Linked DNA regions of Drosophila melanogaster. The protein of the gene in region 3 interacts with the protein of the main gene of each other region in a pairwise test. Each region holds a gene or a part of one and is shown on either strand. Other genes may lie near its edges. The genes, in order: Mlp84B, stops and NimB2.

What was found.
Region 1: the proteins of NimB2 (region 3) and Mlp84B interact in a two-hybrid assay, tested with the Drosophila melanogaster proteins (one large-scale study listed by BioGRID).
Region 2: the proteins of NimB2 (region 3) and stops interact in a two-hybrid assay, tested with the Drosophila melanogaster proteins (one large-scale study listed by BioGRID).

Annotation. Positions count from the first base shown.
Region 1 is NT_033777.3:7,115,717-7,119,473, reverse strand, and holds the start of Mlp84B (muscle LIM protein at 84B), read left to right. Parts: upstream 1-1,741; 5' UTR 1,742-1,823; intron 1,824-2,757; exon of another isoform or gene 2,758-2,822; intron 2,823-3,635; 5' UTR 3,636-3,714; coding exon 3,715-3,757. Other genes in the region: Alh (alhambra), read left to right, coding at 1-12, 426-516. UniProt on the Drosophila melanogaster protein: Plays a role in cell differentiation late in myogenesis. Transcription factor Mef2 is essential for expression.
Region 2 is NT_033777.3:31,166,884-31,170,640, reverse strand, and holds the start of stops (slow termination of phototransduction), read left to right. Parts: upstream 1-2,036; 5' UTR 2,037-2,167; coding exon 2,168-2,614; intron 2,615-3,215; coding exon 3,216-3,315; intron 3,316-3,757.
Region 3 is NT_033779.5:13,965,407-13,969,163, forward strand, and holds the start of NimB2 (nimrod B2), read right to left. Parts: upstream 1,613-3,757; 5' UTR 1,519-1,612; coding exon 1,100-1,518; intron 606-1,099; coding exon 69-605; intron 1-68. Other genes in the region: NimB3 (nimrod B3), read right to left, coding at 2,081-2,288, 2,345-2,505; NimB4 (nimrod B4), read right to left, coding at 2,937-3,429, 3,491-3,757.

The DNA.
Region 1 (3,757 bases), on a different chromosome or scaffold from region 3:
GGATAACAATAGGTGGGGAACGAGAAACGCAAAGAAAAGGTCTTTTACAATTTACATTTTTCAAAATTTGGTAGTTACTTAGTTTACGCCTGATTTTAAAGAAACAAATGGGACTGTGTTGCACATCTATGATTTGCAAAATTGTTAATTTATCGAACACCCGGTGTAGACAACTCTTTTATTTTGTTATTCTAAATAAATTGTAATAATTAGAACATAATGTATATTAAACAGTGCCCAATGTTACTGAGAAACCAGACTTTTTAAATATGTTTTTGTAATTTCATTGAAAAAGGCAACTTTTGGAATCCGTTTCGTTTATTAGAGAATATACTAATACTAAAATAACCCCGTATAAGACCTTTTTCTACTGAAACAATGTATAGAAAAAATCACACTAATATATTTTTCGGTTGTTTCTGTAGCTTAATATCCCGCTATGATATCAAAGATGTTCAAGTTGCACTGACGCCTCTAACAGATTTTGAGAAGGAAATCGAGAAGAGCTCCAAGAGGGTAAGTTGATTTTTTCTTTGTTTATCTTTTAGCATACTATTAATAGAATGATAAACAACTCAGTTATCGTTCCGAAATATTGAGTTAATATAAGCTTTTTTACTTTTAAGGAAACTTGTTTCGGATCTCTTGAGTGATTTTTGCGAAACATTCTCTTAAAGTGTTTTCTCTCTTTTTGGATACAATGTTGCTATATTAATGATGGTTCCCATTATCTTTTACACTTGTATACAACTTGTCATTTAGTTTTTCTCTGATCAAACCTAAAGAGTGGGACAGAGAGTACTACTATATTCGTTTCACTCGCCAAAAGTTTTGAACGCAGGCGCCTTGCCAATTTTTGTATCATACTTATAAGTGGAAATGCAATTGCAAATGCATGTTAAAAATGTTTTGAGAAATTCTGCCGAAGGTGCGCGTTAATTATACAAAAGGTGTTGCCCACCCGTTCTTGTCTTTAAGAAATTCCGTGTTTTTCAATGCTACCCCTTGAACTTCGGAATTTTCGATCGATCCATTTTTTAAAATGGTGTGTGTTTCGATCGAAATACTGTAATAAATCAAATATTAAATTAGTTTGTTATAAATTTGAGAAACTTACTACTACTACTTTGATTTCAAAACTAAAATAATCGGTAAAATCATACCATTAGAACTAATATCAAAATGAAATCATTCTTAGTAATGATATTAAGAGGTATTTTCTGGCCGAGTTGGCCCCCGCCATGTCTGGTTCTATTTTGCCGATCTGATTGATGCTCAATGATGTACCCATGCCCCATTAATTTCCTTTTGAACCAAAAATGCATGGCAAAATATCGAATTTTAATTAAATGCAAATGCGCATGTTAATTTATTGATGTTGAAGTGCCAATGTTCCGAAAGGCAGGCAGGCAGTGGCTTTGAACAAGACAGTTGAACCATGTTGTTGGTCCAATAAAATACCAACATCATCTTTTTCGCCTTGTCATGAGCACGATCACCTGGAATATTCTGCTATAAAATGACCGTATATACAATTTATGAAAGCACATTTTTCTTGTATACTAGCATATTGTATATGTGAGAGCAGATATTTTGTGATTTGTTGGGATTCTTGTTCGGATGGCTAATGTATTTATTGTTGGGGCTATATAGTCATCCCTATCATTTTCTCTGGCGACAAAGTTGCCTTCGTGCCGTGTGCAGACAAAGACTGAAAGCGCTTGACAAATTTTTCAGCGCGATCAGTCGAAAATCGTTGTTAATCGAAGCTAAACTAAAATTAAGGATATTTCTCTTGCGAACCTTTTTATTACGAACGAAAAGTAAATATCAGTTTTTGTCAATGGAAAACGAAAACCAAAACCAAAACCAATCACGCATAACCCAGTAAATTCCAATATTTTGTGTTGTGCTTGTCTAAAAAATATCGGTTCAAGCTCTGCTACAAACCAAACGCGAAGCGATGAAAATACAGTTTTGTCAAGCGATCGTTTAAATTTAGAACTTGTGCGTAATTTGGACCATAATTTGACCCACAAATGAGAGGAGGAATGTATGGCTCCACACAGGAAGCATTTTTCCCACACACTATTATTAATAGATTCCGTTTTTTCGAGTGTGAAAAAACTTTACGGAAACTGTCTCACTCAATAAAATGAGAACTATTTGCGAGGAGTTTTTTTTTCAATCGAGTTTTATTCAAGTACAAATCGATCATCTTTTCATCAGATCAAATCGAATAGTCACTATCCTTGAATAGAGAAAAATTAAAGATACAGTCCTTACTCGACGTAAAAAACACGTACATTTTGATGAGTTTTATAATCTTATTGCATGCAAAAAGTATTATATTTAGTCGGGAATATAAACAAACTCCCAGATGCCTGAGGTTTCCAATGATATGCAACTTTTCGATCATCTTTGATAATCTCCCACTGGGATAAATGTGCATATAATATACACAAAAGTTAGCAAACATCCAAGAATGAGATACGGTCAAGAAAAAACGAGTGAAGGATATGGAATAAAAAACTTTTTCGAAGAATCGAAAAAGTTTAAAAACCGCAGATGCATACCAATATGTTTCCATCCCACTCTCTGGCGTTATTTGATGAAAACTGAAATAAAACGAAGGAAAACTGCTCCGTGTTGCCGCATCTTAAGTTTCTCAACTCGGTGTGCTGAGCAGGAAAACTCAGTGGCAGCGGCGAAAAGTCGACCGCGTTGCCGTGCCGTGTGCACTCACAATTATATAGACTAGTTTGCTTTGAGCAATCTTCCAGTTCAGTACTCGGCGCTTCCGTGTGTGGTTTTAGTGCGTTGTAGGTTCCGTTCTATCTTGGCTATAATACACTCACACCCAACGGTTGGATATCGCCAGCTCTTAACCGATTTTTTTGCACGCAGCAAAAGACCATTGCAAAGCACCTGACTAATCCATCGCAACCGCTAGATAACCAGATTACCGGCCAGGGACGATGCTCATCTGATGGTGGTGCTTTAGCTCTGACTCAGTTTTAGAACACCCAGATATGTACATATATATATCTGCCACAGTTATTTTTTGTGTGTGCTTTTCCCAAATCTATCTACCTGTCTGCGTTATTTTTATACAACATTTTCTGTATAGATAGATACACATTTATTGCTCATGTTTTTCTCTGTGTTCTGTGATTTGAAAAATTCCTCCTTTATTTTTTGTTGTCATGAGAAAGATGTTATTTTCTGATCATTAACATAGGAATCTTCAATATGAATTACGTATACATACGTCCGGTTGGGTAATTTTCTGGCACGGGCGATGACGTCTCGACTGACAGATAAGAATCTTGATAGATGATCTACATAATGCAAATTGAGGAGAAATTCGCGACTGTCAAGTTGAATTTGTAATAGTTCATTGTAAACTTAAGATAAAACAAGCGTCTTAATCGTCCAAATAGGTTAACATGTAGATTAGCTTGAATTAACTAGTTGGGCTTAGAATAATTTGGAAACCATTTAACATACAAAAATGACAGATGCTTACCTCATCGCTTTCATCGCCACCAAAGCTTCCACTCTGCTGCATTTCCCAGCAGGACTTACGCCACGATCCCATCGACTCTATGTGTTCTTCTATTTTGCTATTTCAGATAATAAACTTAATAAGTAAAGTAATTGTACTCGCGTAGATCATTTTGATAGCGTTAAAAAAACCGAAACACAGACAGAATGCCTTCCTTCCAACCGATCGAGGCCCCCAAGTGTCCGCGCT
Region 2 (3,757 bases), on a different chromosome or scaffold from region 3:
CACTCTGAATGATGTATATCTCGGGGGTCGTTTTTTTTTCTCAATCTGCACACCAATAAATTGCCATCGTAATTTCCACAGTGGGAGACCCCTTATTCAGCTATTAGATTGCATCGCCAGAAATTATGTAAATTCGGTTATTGTGCTCCATGTGCCCGCACAATCGAGTGCAGCATAAAACGGAAGCGAAATAAAAATTTCGCCAGGCTTGTGTGCATTTCCGCTTCCGCTTGGCTCGACCACAGTGCAACCACACATTGTTGCATTTATTCGGACTCATATATTTACGGCCAATACGCCGCTGATTGGATACGAATTTAATTCAATTAATTCGCTACCTTTGCGGCATCGGATAGCCTGCATATGGCCACAATTGCATTGCCCTTTTAATTAGCGCTCAGGTGAGCCTGTTCAGGTGAAAATATTGCCATGTTGTCCTGGGTAACCAGCACAAATATGCACCGTTTTAATGGACCTGAGTTAATTACACTGTGCCGAATGTCCTTCGACACTTATTTGCATATGCGATTAAGGCGAAGGACCCGAGGAATCCCTACCAGACATGATTATCCCAGTCATCATCTCTGGATCCCTTGGTGTGCGTTCTTAATTAATGTTTATGGCAGTGCTTAAATATTTACCCAGCGCTTAATTGTCAGCCCAAATATTAAACGTGCAAATACGGCGAATAATGGAATGAGTGGGCCTGAATAATGTATGGGAAAATTGATATGTCCCGCATAAACAAATATTAATTGGCAAAGGGTGATAGAAAAACATGTAAACAATGTGCACAATTGCTATTTAAAATATGAATTTATTTTGTAGCTGAGAAATTTACATGACAATTGGAGTCGTGTTTTAAAATACATTTGACGTGGCTAAAGCTCGAGAAAACACTCCTATTGTTTACAGATTTAAATCCGTGTATATGAATATTTGTTGCAATATTTATTTCAAAATGATCCCCTTGAAAATGTAATGGATTCATTGAAGGGGGATTAGTAAATCTCTAAAAAGATAGCTTAAAGCGGTTCGCTTTATGATAATATCGGTTTCACTCTGGAATGAAGTATCGAGTGACTTTGTATTAGTTTTCAGTTTTCCGTTGTAAAATCAAATTCATTAATGATTTAAACCGAAAAAAGCACTGAAACATTAAACAGCACACCATCAGTATTTATTTCGAAATAAATATATTTTTGTTGAATCAAGCATAATCCTTATAATGACAAACCAATTATTTTTCAGTTTAATATTGCAAAATCACAAAAACCTGCGTTTTTATGCGCCATTTGATTTTATGCTTATCGCCAAACATTACCCATTTAGCACAAAAATAATGTGAGAGCATACATATGTACTATATATTTTAAATTGAAAATTCCAATTTAGAATCTAATTTAGCTTTATGCTCATGAAACGCGTATTTAATACCTCCGCTACTCTCTGTACAAAGAGAGAGTGGAGAGAAAGCGGGAGAGTGAGCGCTTAGGTAAACAGCTGAGCGTTCTTAGAAATTGGACTTCGTTTGTTTAGTTTTCCAGCGGCAGCTGATGAGTGGGGTGGAAAATTGTGTGAGTGCGCTGCGTGCAGTGAATAAATGGTTCGGAAAAATGCCAGCAAATTTCAAAGTGCAATAGACTGTTTAGCAAAAACCAATCGAATTGAATCGAATCGAATCAGTTTCAATGGAGTCCTCGAGTTCCATTCGGTTTTTGAAGAGCTCATAGAAATATACTTGTCGGCTGGTAATCAAACACCTGTTTGCCAATTGCTTTGCTGGGAGCTTCACGGAAATAAAGAGGCCTAAAAAGTAATTGAACTGTATATCAGCTTTTGAATAAGCTTTACATACTATGTAATTATTTTCTTATATGATTGCAATGCTTAAAAATATTAAAATGAATATTCCGCATGCTCATTATGAGTTGTTTATGTTTATCAAAAGTTCTCCCAGCACATCATTGCCAGCTGCAAAAAATCGATAGCGCAAGAGAGTCACCCCCGCAAAAGAAATTCTCTCTTTTTTGTGTATTGCGACTCTTTGGCTTCAGCGGTGCGGGAGTTTTTTTGAAGCGGAATTTCAATTCTTTGGAGGGAATCATCAATTCAGCTCAATCGAAAATATTTGCCTACTTAAAGTGAATTAAATTTTGTTTGCAATATGCTTTCGCAGTTGCTACAGGCTTTCCAGCGGCTGGTAAGTCAATTAAAAAGCCAATTTGTGTGGGTTCGCTGCTGGTTGCCATTTCCACGGCATTTCTACGGTTTCCGCCGGGAAACTGAGTCACGGGCACGGCTGCGTCTGCGGGTGCGGGAACAACTGCGTCGGAATCCTGCCAATAGGGCCAGTCACCAGCGGAACCGGCGAACCCAGCGCCGCCATCTGGTCATGGACTACATCTTCGAGTGCTTCTTCGACGACACCTTCGAGCAGATCTCCCGCAACGGACTGCAGGACCGCCAGTCGCGGCGAGATGTCCTCGACCACCTGAGCTCCATCATCAAGGGCTGCAGCGGCGGCCAGAACTCGCAGACGGATGAGGTGGCCGCCATCGCGGTGACGGCGGCCATGAGGTACCACCGAATGGCCAAGGAGCAGAACGGCCAGGTGAGCTTTATGTACAAATCGAGTGTTGCCAATGTGGCATTTCTGTGTGCCAAACTTCAATAGTTAATATGAATAAATATTTACTTAAAAGAGTCCATACAAACTAGCACTGGGCTTTAGCAAAGCTCAACTTAATTAATAATGATTTGACAATTAGTTTCCGGTACTTAAAAAAACGAAATAAATAATTAGAACAAAAGCCAAGTCAGTCTATTTCGTTGTCGTATTAAATAAATGTTAATGTTTAAACCAAGCCTTATGAATGGAAACCAATGATTAATTAGCCAAATAACATTGCTTTGCTTTTGAGTCGAATAAAAGTGGAATTTAATAAAGCTTTCTAGAAAACGGTTAGAAAAGTACTAAAACTATGCATAAATATGTATATCCTGCTGCTGCGATCCAATTGACCTTTTAGAGTGTAAATAAATATGGAAAGTTGTTTCGGGCTTAATTTCCTTTGGCAGAGTCTGCTAAACTTAATTTTCTTCCATTTTAAATGCCATCTCTTCATATGGCAATTATTTATAATTTAAAAAGTAGCACTTCAGTTGGGATTCAGCCCCTTCACCACACCCTCCATTCCATGCGTATTCCCCAGGTCTGCCTCATGGGCAAGTATCACAACATCCTGTACATCGGACTGCGCACCTGCTGGGATTGGGGAGTCCGGGACTCGGAGGTGGTCGTCAAGCTGCTGGGTAAGTGGAGTCGGGCCAACTAAATAATTTAATTTAAATGCATATGTATGCGTATGTGTGCGTAAGCGTATGCGAGTGAGTGTGCGTGTGTGTGTGGCAAGACTTTCCTGTTTGCTTTTTGGGCGTGGCTGTGTGCTTTGCATACTTTAATAAATATCATCCCATCGCATCGGATTATTACGCCCATAAGCAGGCAGTTTTCACTTTAATCACGTGTTTCTGCTAATTGCGTTAAGAAAGTGTTGCTGATGTCGTTCTGTTGCTCTGTTGTTGCTGCATCGTAAAACTTGTAAAGTGCCTCAAAGTGTTGCAAGTTATTTGGGGCGTACGCATGTTGGCTGCCTCTAATTAAAAGGCTGCGTAAACTTTTGCGAGCAGGAAAAGTGCCTGGAATTAATGGCATGCCTCTGTCAGGGAATCTGGACTCGTGTGCAATAAAACT
Region 3 (3,757 bases):
GAAATAATTAAATTATCTAAACTATACATCGCAAGCAGATTTCATTGTTTTTTAAAGGCCACACTTACATGGAGCAAATGGGTTCGCAGCGTCCTTGGAGCTTTAGGTAGCCTGCGTTGCAGTTGCAGTGTCCTGGAGCCGTGCACTTGCCATTCTCGCAACTGTCGCACACTGGTTCGCAGGATCCATCGGCGGCCAGGCGGTATCCGTCGAGGCAGGCGCACTTGTTGGGCGCCACACAGCGTCCAAAGGAGCAGCCGGGCTTGCATTCCGGCTGGCAGTACTTACGAGTCTCCGGCTCAAGCGAGTATCCCTCGCGGCACTTGCACTCATTCCGCTCGTCGCACACTCCGTTGCCGCAGCCCAGGGGACAGGTGGAGATGCACTTGCCCTCGGCGGTGCGAACGTGGCCGGGTATGCAGACACAGGTATTCGGAGCAGTGCATATTCCATTCCGGCAGTCATCCGCGCAGATCGGCTCACAGCGGCGGTAGATGTGCGGATTTCGCTCATAGCCATCGCAGCAGACTTGGATGCGACTCATGTCCGGAGTGGTGCCATTGCCAACGAACTGATCCCGCGAATTGCGGAGCAGTGACGCGGTTCTGGATATAAACAAGGAAAACATTAGGTTTACTTAAACAACTTAAAATCATGAATGCAATGACATATATTTTTCCTAGGGAAACTAATAAAACAGATAATCAACATGTCTAAATAATACCTTAGTAAAGATGTGTGTCAAAATTGAAAAATAATTTTGTCCTTTAAAGTTTTAAACTACATATTGTCCAAGAGAATGCAAATGAAACTAGTCAATTCAACTAAATTTAAAAACTTTTCGCTTATCTACTGACTTTCCGCTCGTTGCATATTAAATTCATTCACATTATTAGCTTGGCACACATATACTCGTGAAATCAAGGCGCATTTTAATTATCAGGCCAGCGGAGGAAGTTGAGGTCGTTAGTTCACTATTTTTATGGCTTGCCTTGTTTTCGAATGCCTTCCGAATTGGGCGATAGCTTTAAGTGGAATTATAAAAGTGTTTTCCTCTCGATTGTTAGTATTTTTTGTCCGAAATTAACCCATCACTTACGGAACTTCCTTGTAGCACACACCACTGGCCATGGCAGATCTGGTTTTGTTGATGAACAGGGCCGTTTCATCCAGGACCTGGACACGATGAGCGGGCGGAGTCACCGGCTGCACGTAGTGTCCATAAAGGGGCGGCAATGTGACCGGTTGAAAGACCTCGGCGCGCACAAATCCAGCGGATCCCTGTTCCACATGGTTCTGCTGGTTCCAGGCGTAGTTGCTCTGGTTTTGAGTGCTCCAACCGTAGCTGCTCTGGTTGTAGCTCCTCCATCCCGACTCACTGCTATTGCCGGCAAGCTGCAGGTTTCCCGATGGCGGCTGCCGTGTCTTGATGCCAGCCGTCTTGAATTGTCCCTGACCCAGGGAACAGATGGCCAGCAGAACGCCCAGAGTCACCAGCTGGCACGATGATGACCTCATGGTGATGTCACTTGATTACGGATTTCGTACGTATGGAAATTGATTATGCGCCCACGTCCACGTCCGCTGGCGACTGTAGTTGCACATCGACTAATCGGCTCCCGATGCGAAGCTCCGGATCTCTGAGCCGCCATTCGCCTCCGGCAACCTCTTGTCCCCCTTCTAATCAGCACCTCGCCAATGTACCCATCAATGTGGCAAACGGAGCGAAGGTTTGCTCTCAGTAGCTTCGGGCAAAGCAAATCGATCATTGCCATAAATTGTGAGTCGTAAACAAAACTCATTGCTTTTGGGTAATTCCAAGAAAAGTTTGCGTACAACGATGACTTCAGGTATAGAGATTATTTCTTGATGAAATATCAGATTTAAAGGCACAGAACATAAAAATGATGAACCTTTAAAACTTATGAAGGTTTTTTCAAAAAAAAAATTTAACGTTTCTATGTAATCATGAATGGTCGTAAAAAACAGGTTAATAATATTTCAAATAGTAGAAGTATTGATCAAATAATGATAAAGTAAGCAACTCAAAAAATATTGTAATTGATATTATTTATTTTTGTTATTCCAAGACAAAACGACACCTTTTGTTACTCCGATAGTAACCCGGAGCACACTCGCACTCCTCGGGCGCCAGGCACAATCCATTGGAGCAGTCCTCCGAGCAAATGGGCTCGCACTTCAGGTTCTGGCTTGTTCCCTTATTCACATAACCATCGCAGCAGTAGGAGAACTGACGATTTCTGGAGTTGGGATTGATGGTTTCCACGCTGGGAGTGGGAATTGATCTTGAAATTCGGTCAGGCGTGCGGAATGGTTTACCTACGTGAGCGTCCTGTAACAGATGCCGGATCCCCTCTCGGCCAGAGCCTCTTTTCGCCACTGCGTAACAGGATCCACCGACCAGAATTGTGCGGCAGTGCGCGTGGGCAGCTCGATCCCCAGACCGCAGATAAGGAGTCCAATCAGCGTGGATGTCAAGTGCATTTCGCTCGGATTCAGCTGAAGGCGAGGTCGTATCAAAATGCGAGCGCAATGCTCGCCAGTGTCTCGGAGCTACTAAATTGTCGTCTGTGTCAAGCGCGGCATTTAAGTGTACGGAGATAGAAATGTTCTATATTCCTAGGAAGATAATTATGTGTTCAGTACCCGGTATTCGTGGGGTATGTTGACTATGCAGAAAATAAGTGATATACCAAATAATAAATACCTATTCAAATGAAACAACTTTCGAGAGGGTACCAAATCTTCGACGTACGTTTACAATTTAAGCTAGACTTGCTTCAAAAAAGCGAAATCCCAAGAGATGAAGCCACAAGATATTTCAGACACCCCTGATAAGAACACAACGTCTTGGGAAATGCATGAATATTTATTAGAGACTGCTCAGTGATGCTGGAAAAGTGAGAGCTCCGAACTCACAACCACCACATATCGCTGAGTGTGGTCAAGTTGAAGTGCCTGCCCAGCAGAAGATTGAATTCCTGGATGAGCGATGCGTTCACCTTGACGGGATTCATAGAGGCGTATGTGGTGACCGTGTCCGGCGACATGCAGCGATCGATGAATCGCGTCATGCCCACCTGGCAGCGGCATCTTCCCATGGCGTTGCACAATCCGTACTCGCAACGCTGGTAGGTGCGTTCCGGACCCGGGACTATGGCGCATCCGCACACATTCGGTGCGATGCATTTGCCGTAAAAACCACATCCACCCACGCAGACCGCCTCGCATCGCTCCCGATTCCGGACGTAGCCCTTGAAGCAGCGGCAGTTGCCCGGCGAGATGCACACCCCATTATCGCAGTTGTCCCCGCAATCCGGCAGACAGGTCGTCGTATTCTTATCGTATCGATATCCGTTCTGACACACGCACGTCGTTTTGTTTGCACAGAAGCCATTCTCGCAGGTCCTGAAAGAAATTTATTAAATTATTAAATGTAAAAGGAGAGGCGTCTAGTTCTAACACTCACATATAGCAATCGCCTTCGCAGGTGATGCCGTTCTTGCGTTTTTGGAATCCGGGGAAGCACTCGCATTCGTTGGGCCGCACGCAGTGACCGTATCCGCAGTCCGGAATACAAATCGGTTGGCATCCCAGGGCGGCGGACTCCCTCAGTCCTCGGGTATATCCCTCGGCGCAGGAGCACTTGCCCGGCTCCAAGCAGACCTCGTTGTGGCCACAGGTGGCGTTGCACTGCGGCTGGCAGAATTTGCGCGATCCGTCCAGCTCGTATCCC